Oryzias latipes: one gene and its partner. The protein of the gene in region 2 interacts with the protein of the main gene of each other region in a biochemical or structural test. Links are inferred from orthologs where the notes say so. Each region holds a gene or a part of one and is shown on either strand. Other genes may lie near its edges.

Evidence for each region.
Region 1: the proteins of arhgap1 (region 2) and bnip2 form a complex in vitro, tested with the Homo sapiens proteins (2 studies listed by BioGRID). The link is inferred for Oryzias latipes from reciprocal best matches to the Homo sapiens genes ARHGAP1 and BNIP2.

What each region holds. Positions count from the first base shown.
Region 1 is NC_019864.2:17,098,875-17,103,136, forward strand, and holds the start of bnip2 (BCL2/adenovirus E1B 19 kDa protein-interacting protein 2), read right to left. Parts: upstream 2,844-4,262; 5' UTR 2,316-2,843; coding exon 1,960-2,315; intron 1-1,959.
Region 2 is NC_019860.2:878,376-882,198, reverse strand, and holds part of arhgap1 (rho GTPase-activating protein 1), read right to left. Parts: coding exon 3,783-3,823; intron 3,184-3,782; coding exon 3,052-3,183; intron 1,338-3,051; coding exon 1,251-1,337; intron 365-1,250; coding exon 266-364; intron 181-265; coding exon 73-180; intron 1-72. UniProt on the Homo sapiens protein: GTPase activator for the Rho, Rac and Cdc42 proteins, converting them to the putatively inactive GDP-bound state. Cdc42 seems to be the preferred substrate.

The DNA of each region.
Region 1 (4,262 bases), on a different chromosome or scaffold from region 2:
TTTCTGTCAGCAGCATTTGTTTTCTGACCATAACAATAAATTAGTCAAAGATAAAATGTTTAATGACATTTTGTCAGACTTAGAAACTCTGTCAATTACTTTTTTTAAACACAATAAAATTTACAGTCTCCAAAATCAGCTCGGATGCTCAAGCTTGTAGTTTACTTTAAAATCAGCTCTATTTATTCATGAAAACCTGTGAGCTTTAGTTAAGAGATTAGTTTATGAACCACAACTAAAGCTGCCTATTGTATCTGTGACTGGGTGACACACTGATCTCTCAGAATAGCTCATCTCTGCATGTGTGCAACAAACTTATTTTTAATTTACTAATGCAAATGGCACAGGCCTTTTAATATTTTTAATTTAACTTTTATTTAACCAGGAAATTTCCATAGAGATTAAAAACCTCTTTTCCAAGGGAGTCCTGGCCAACAGGCAGCACATTTCAATAGAAAAAATACATATGAACAAACATAATTTAATCACACAAATCACAAAAATGAGTGGGAACACATTAGGATCATTACAAATACTAACGTGAAAAAAATAAATGTTTAGAAAATGAAAACATGGATCATGCAGTGCTAACATACAGATTTAGCTGACTCAAGTAAAGTACATAGATAAATGCTTTTAAATATTCTTTTGAAGACATGAATTTTTCAGAGTATTCCATTAAAGCAAAGATAAATAAGTGTGAAAAAACAATCTACTTCACAGTTACTTTATCTTTAAAATGTTACTCGTTAATTTCTGATGTTATAATTAAAATGGTTATTTTAGTGGTGCTTCACTGCAAAAGGTACAATTGTTTTGTTTTCTGCACTAAAATTCTACATCCAGGGACAAAACTAGAAATTAAGTTGGAGCCTTTTAGCAAATAATTAAAGCTCTTGTCTCTGCTAAAGCTTTTTGTTTTTGTAAAAATCTTATTTCAATTATGGGAAGCTATGATAGTTAGAGGTGTAACAATAATTGACTTAATCAATGAATTGTAATATCCAAGCAGATCGATCTATTTGAGGCAAATCACCTATACCATAATTGTTTCAAAATGAAATAAATCGATTATTAATATAGTAAAATACCCTTTGGATTGAGACACGGTAGGTTTATTTAACTACAAAGTAAAAACGCGACCAAGTCCATCACAGCGTACAACAAACGTGATGGCGGCAAAAAATGATCAAGCCATCATTTCTTTGCTGCAAATGTGTGGAAAAACTTTCCGTTTACAAAGTCGTGTAAAGCCATACAGTGTGGTAGAATGCTCTAATAATTTTCCCCTTTTGGATTATTTTGATGTGAAAAAAAAAACGGTGGGCGGCACTTATGGAAACTAAAATGTGAATAGATTTGCCATTAATTCTAGTTTACTTGTTTGTTTGTACACATATTGCATTTACACTTGATTATCTTGCAAGAAATACAAGGAATCTGGAAAACTGCATGTGCACTGTTCAGTAGCCAGCTATTCATCTCTGAGTCACACTGGAGGAAATTTTGGCTGAAGATGAAGATGTCAAGGATTGATATTAGGTCAGTGAATCGTCTCTTCAAAATGAACCAATATAAACTATTAATCATATCAGTAACGACAAATTATGCTATGAATCAAATCATTGTTTAAATGAAGCGTTGCATCCCTAATGACTGTCAAAGCCACAGCATTGGAGCAACTAAGTTTGAAAAGCAAAGAAGTCATAAAGGTTTGTTCTGTATTCTGGTTATTGCCTTCAGTTGTAGAGTATACTGTGTGTTTTTGTGAGGAATCTTAATGCGTTTCTCTTTTTTGACTTGAAGTAACTGATGATGAACTTAGGTAAAAACAAAAAAAGTTAGTTGAATATTATCAGCAGCTGACACACAAAAAGCAAGTCAGTTAGTAAGTTCAGAAATAGTGTAAACTCGACCCAAAGTTGGCAACTACATACCCCAAACAGGAAAAATACAGACCTTCCAGTGGGTTCAGGAGTTAACGGTGACTGGTGAAGGGTTACTGGGGTAGAGACCATCCTTCCTGCCGGCTGTATCTGCACATTACCCGTCCGTTTCTGCGACACTTCTTTTGTTTTGGTTGGACTTTCTCCCGACTCTTTGTCATTTTCAACAACAGAGGCTGCACTTGTCTGTAACTCGTTTAAATCCTCGTCATCTCCCGACACTCCGGAAGATGACGGGCTAGACGTCTCCCTATTGTCCATGTTTTCGGAACTTCTGCTGGGTGTGACTACATCTGGGCTGCTATTGTTCAAATTAATATCAGTCAAACCCGTCAACACCGCTTCACCTTCTATCACTTCCGATGCCATGAGGTAAATATCTGGCCAAACTAGTACTTGGTCAGGTTGACTGAGTGTTTGAAACCCCCAATCAGCCCGGTTCCTCAATCATTAACAAGCTAGACCAGAATTTACGCGACTTCCTCCCAAGTTTGTAGCTTTTTGGCTAGCTGAGCTCTCGTCTACGGCGCAGCTAACCGAAAAAGTCCTGTTGCTAACACCTAGCTATAATAAGCGACGACATATCTAACAAACTCAACATTGTGAAATATCACAGAGGGTACCAAGCTTTAGTCACCGTTCCTAAATGCGTCACGGTGTGAATATGAGAGTCCAAAACTGTGCTACCTTCTTCACGAAAGGCAGTGAGTTGTACGCAGCGAACCAACTTTTCTCCGTTTCCTTCCTTCCTCCAAGTCACAATGCAACTCTCTGCTGCGGACGGAACTAATGTCAGATAGCTTTTCAGCTACACTAACTAAGCTACATAACCTTAGGCAGCGTGTTATCACAGTGCTACAGATACGACAAAAAAAAAAAAAAAAAAAATACAATGCAATAAATCAACTCAGTAACTAAATACGACACATTCGCACGGTTTACTGCAATAGTGTATACAACCTGCGTCAGTTCATTTAACTAGCCATAACTGGCAGACACCAGGGGCGGATGTGAAGAAAAGGACGGTCCCAGGGCACAAATAGTGTGTGTGTGGAAGAGTTCATATTCATAAAAGTAGATGATCAAACTACAAACCTAATTTTGAAAACTTTTTGCATGAATAAATATTACCCAAAAAATTAAAACAACCAACCCAAAATACAATAAAATAAAGATTTGGTTGTTGTCTTCTGGTGACCCTCTGTCAGTTTGTTTTTTAGGAATGCATCTGCTTTGTTATTTGAAGGGATATATTCCTAATTTTATATAATACATTTCCATTTATGACATTTTTGTTTATGCTTTTGTTTATGAAATGTTGATTAGTTTAGATCACTTCAGACATTTAATCTTTGTTTTGTGTTTGTTTTTTGTTACCTTTTTTTTAACTTCTGGCTATTTCACAATACTTTTTTTGGATCCTTGGTAGGGCTGCATGATATGAGGAAAACTCGCGATATGCGATATTGGTAATTAATATTGCGATAACGATATAATTTGCGGTATATAAACAAATAGCAAAAAAACCAAAAACATAATTTCCATTTCACTGCAACAGTTTAAAAATTATACTCCAAATGACCCTTGTCGACGTAGGAGGCAAACATCAAACATAAAAGGGCTCATCTGATTGATCAACAATATAAACGGGTCCTTCTGATTGGTTAAATGCATAAAGGGATTTATTTCATTTGTTCAATATTTCAAGCTGCCATGAGTTTGTTTTAACACATTTAAGGTAATCATTTATAGCAATTTTTGCCGTCTTTTGCGGTATGCATATTGCACAGCTTGATTTCGCGATAACGATAAATTTGCGGTATATATAAATTCAGCACTGGAGTTTTCTTCATGACTGACAGTTAGAATTTGGGAAACCAAAATCAGACAAAAGAACAGCCAAGATCCTGTGGTACTTCCAGATCCAGGATGGTAATGGCAAACTAACTAACAGATTGTGGTGGATAAAGAACAGAGGAAAGCCGTTGTGGTGGATGTGGCAGTGCCAAGCGATGGGAACATCAGGAAGAACGAACATGAGAAACTGGAGAAATACCAGGGACTCAGAGAAGAACTGGAGAAAGCATGGAAAGTGAAGGTGACAGTGGTGCCTGTGGTAATTGGAGCACTCGGGGCAGTAACCCCCAAGCTGGACGAGTGGCTACAACAGATACCTGGAAAGACCTCAGACCTCTCAGTCCAGAAAAGCACAGTGTTAGGAACAGTTAGGATACTGTGCAGGACCCTCAAGCTCCCAGGCCTCTGGTAGAGGACCCGAGCTTGGAGGAGAAACCACTCGCGGAGGGTGAGAGGGGC
Region 2 (3,823 bases):
AACGCACAAGGGCAGAGGCTCAAACACGCGGCTGAGGGGCCCCCACAGTCCAGAATGGCTTAAGGGACTTACTGGGACAGCGGCACCCCGAACACCTGGTTGGGCAGGGGGGGGCTACGGGGAGGGGACATGGGGGGCGGTGAGCTCGGCTTGGCAGAGGCCCTCAGCTTGTCGTCGTACCTGGATAGGTCAGACAACATCAAAGCGGGGTTTGGAAGCGAGTCGCCATGACAACAGCGGGGTCTAGTTTGGAGGCGGGGCTTACTCTTGGACTCGCTGGGGGATCAGCAGCTGCTCGCACTTCACCACGTCCTCCAGCTCGCTCAGGTAACTCACGTAGTTGATCTTCCTGCCGAACTTCAGGCTAAAAACAGGAAGAGAAAAACAAAAATAACCCTTTCAAAATAAAGTTCCCAAATCTCCCTTTATTTCCTGCCCCCCCCCCAAAAAAAATGTATTTATGAGCATTGAGAAAGTTATAAAACAGTACATTTAAATTCACTTAGGGCCTATTTTCTGGTTTTTACTGTCAAATTTGCAAACTTTATTTTGAAAGTTTGACCTTTTTAAAGAATAAATGAGTAGTTGTTCCAAAACTATAAGGACATGTGAAGGAAATCTGAATGACTTTGGGTAATTTGGCAGCAAAACTCAAGTCGTTTTCAATGTTAACATGAAAATAAATACTAGTTATAATTAATATAATATAATTATAAAGTCAAATCAAAACGCTTCCTTCAAAAGCATCAGTAGTTTAGTGTTTTCAGAGGTAATAACCTTCATTTTTAATAAAAATTCCTGAACTAGAGTCTATAAAAAGAAGAAACTCCTCCAAGGAGTGAATGTTTTGACCAGCAGGGGGCGCCGCAAACACACAAATCACTCCTAAAAAGTCACTTCCATCAGGATGTCAATGCTGATGCTCCTCACCAAACACCTGCTGCGGCTTCGTTTACGCCACAGAACCAGAACCAACACTCAGATCTGGTTCCACCCGAGGTTCTCCACAGAAGGAACCACCGTTCAACCATCATTGGTGGAGCAGAGCATCCCTGACGGCGACGCCTTCCTTCATTTCAAAAGCTCTTTAATTCTTTGATCCTATCAGAGTTCACCTGACCCGACCTTATCAGAACATTTCACAGGTGAACAACCGGATTTTTTTTTAAAGCATCAAGAACCTCTTTTATGACTCCAGACATTCAAGAGAGCTCAGCGTCTCTGTTTACGGAACAAGAAGAGGAAGGAACCTGATGATGGGCTTGAAGAGAACCAGCAGAGTCTTGATGAACAGGGTTGGATGGACGATGTACAGCGCTTTGATGTTCTTCTTGTACCTGCAGACATGAGAAGGTTCTGAGTACACGGGAGTCTGTGGAGAAACACGCAGAAGCTTCACTGCATTGACGTTGACGAATAAACTCGTCTGCAGGAACCAAAACAACCAGCGGGTTGGTCTGGAGAACCTTTAGAGTTCAGACCAAACGGATCCTGAAAAGGTGCAGCTGAGCTTTGTTTAGTTCCTGATCCAAGAGCTTCAACACAATAGAAACAAAACCTTATAATGCACCTGGAAGAACACATTCTGTCAGTGGCAACAGGCTCTCACTGATTAGGCGTTGTCTTGTACCTACAGAACCTCTCTGAGGTTCCAGCCTTAAACTGTAGGTTTGATGTCACACTTAGAAAATGCCTCACCTGCAGCTCTAGCGAAATCAGGCCAAATCCTTCACCAATGCCTCCTCATATGGGCGCCGCTATGTTGAAACCACGTCGCCATTGCCCATAGATACGATGACTCAGCGACTCTGACCAATCACTTTCAACTGGTTTCAACATGGCGGCGCCCGTATCAGGAAGCACTGGTGCTTCCCATTTAGGTAAACGAGAAGGGAGGGGTTGAGCTGTTCATCGTTTCTACAGTCAGTGGTTCCAGCACATATATGCAACCCGCTATACTGCAAGGGGCCTTATGGAAAGCCAACAGGGCCAAAAAGTCATCAACAGTTACAATTGTCACAGTTGCTCAAAAGTCTTAGATGGATACAATTCCATCAATATTTTAACCCTATTGGTTTGCCGTAGGGTTCGGTAAAACTTTGTGTATCTCCACTTTTAGCTGTGCATCACTGTCAGCCATCTTTTGTCAACTGCATGGTTGAGAGACAATCTTAGCATTCTTTCAGACGTCGTCACGCCTCTTTGAGGCGAGTCAGTGGCGTGTTCGGCTCAGCTGATCCCACTGAACACGCCCGAACACTAGCATGCACTAAAGACTTGATTTACAGTTGACCAATAAAAAATCTTTTAAACTGTAAGGGTTTTGAAATTAAACCATAAAAAGTACCAAAGCTGTCTGAAACTAAACATGACACTGGTAAAAACCTCCTAATAATACCTCTAGCTAGTCAAATGCTGGCATGTTTAGATTTCAGGTATTATGGCAATTCAACTTCCTGTGTGTACCTTGTTTGATTGCTCTCACTGTATTTAGGTTGTTTATCGTGGAAACCATGGAGACAAGTGTGTGTGTGTGTGTGTGTGTGTGTGTGTGTGTATAATGCTCTGTTGCAAAAGGTTTGAATAAAATATAAGTTAAAAAACAAACAAACACAAATCTAAAGCCGGTTTTGCGTTACAAAACGAGAAAAAGGTGGCTCAGCTGTTGGCCAACCATTTTCTGTTATTTATCGGTAGCATTGGAGGTTGAGTTTAAGGGGTTTTAAACACTTCCAAACTCTCTATAGACGTCAGTTCCAGGCATTTTCCTCTGTATTGACCCGTGTCTGTTTCTTCAAAAAAAAAAAAAAACGGCCTAATCACTGGGAATGCTTTGAAAATAGCTCTAAATGTGGTCATAGTGGGATGACCACTAGCTATTTCCAGTTTATTCACCTTTACAAGCGATGAGGTCTGTGTTGTTTGGCGTTTAGACGCCATTATTTTAGTTTCTACTGCGAGGGAAAATGATGTTATTGGCTGTTAGTATTGACCCTAAAAAAAGCCCATCGGTCGTTCCCCGGTTCGCTTCGTGAGCGCCTTTGAACCTACTTCCTGTCAAACTCCTTGTAGGCGTCTCGGAGCCAGCCCAAGGACGGTTTGTTCAGACTGGTCAGCCCGTGGTGGAAGTAGATGAGAGTGTAGTCGCTTTCCACGTACTGGTCCAGCGTAGCTTTCAGGTACCTGCGGCACGAAAACACACCGTCACTGACAGGCGAAGCTGTGAGGAACTAAACGCTCTCACAATGGAGGTCGGCACTTCCTAGTTCTTGTCTTTTTCACCTTTTGAAAGTGGCTTCTCTTTGGAGGGACTTTCAAAGTAAAAGTAAGATCAATTGCAATGAGCAACAAAACTACATGAGGAAAAGAAAAAAAGTTTGTAGGATGGGGCGTTACTCCCAAATTCCTGAACCAATTCAGATTTCTTTTTTTAAATATCGATAGATTTTTCTGAATTCCTTCAAAAACCAGATTTGTTTTTTCATTTAGAAAAATGTTTTCCCACAACTTTGGATGTAAACTAAACATAAGCTGAACGTAGAAACGTTTGACGTTTTTGTCTTTTATTTTGAAAATCTACATTAGTATTACAGGAACGGGCTAAAGCGAACTAACGTTTTCACTCAAAAGGAGAAAGTCTTCAGATGTGCTGCTAGTTAATATTTTAAACAAGGGTTCCTTTGAGTTTGACCTCTAGGTTTCATCATTGGGCGGGTCATTGTGGCGTCTGACACACAAACGCAACATCAAAAGGTTCGATTCCTGTACCGCTACGTACTCACATCAGCAGCTTGTGGTGGTCCAGCTCGTGCTGCGGCGGCAT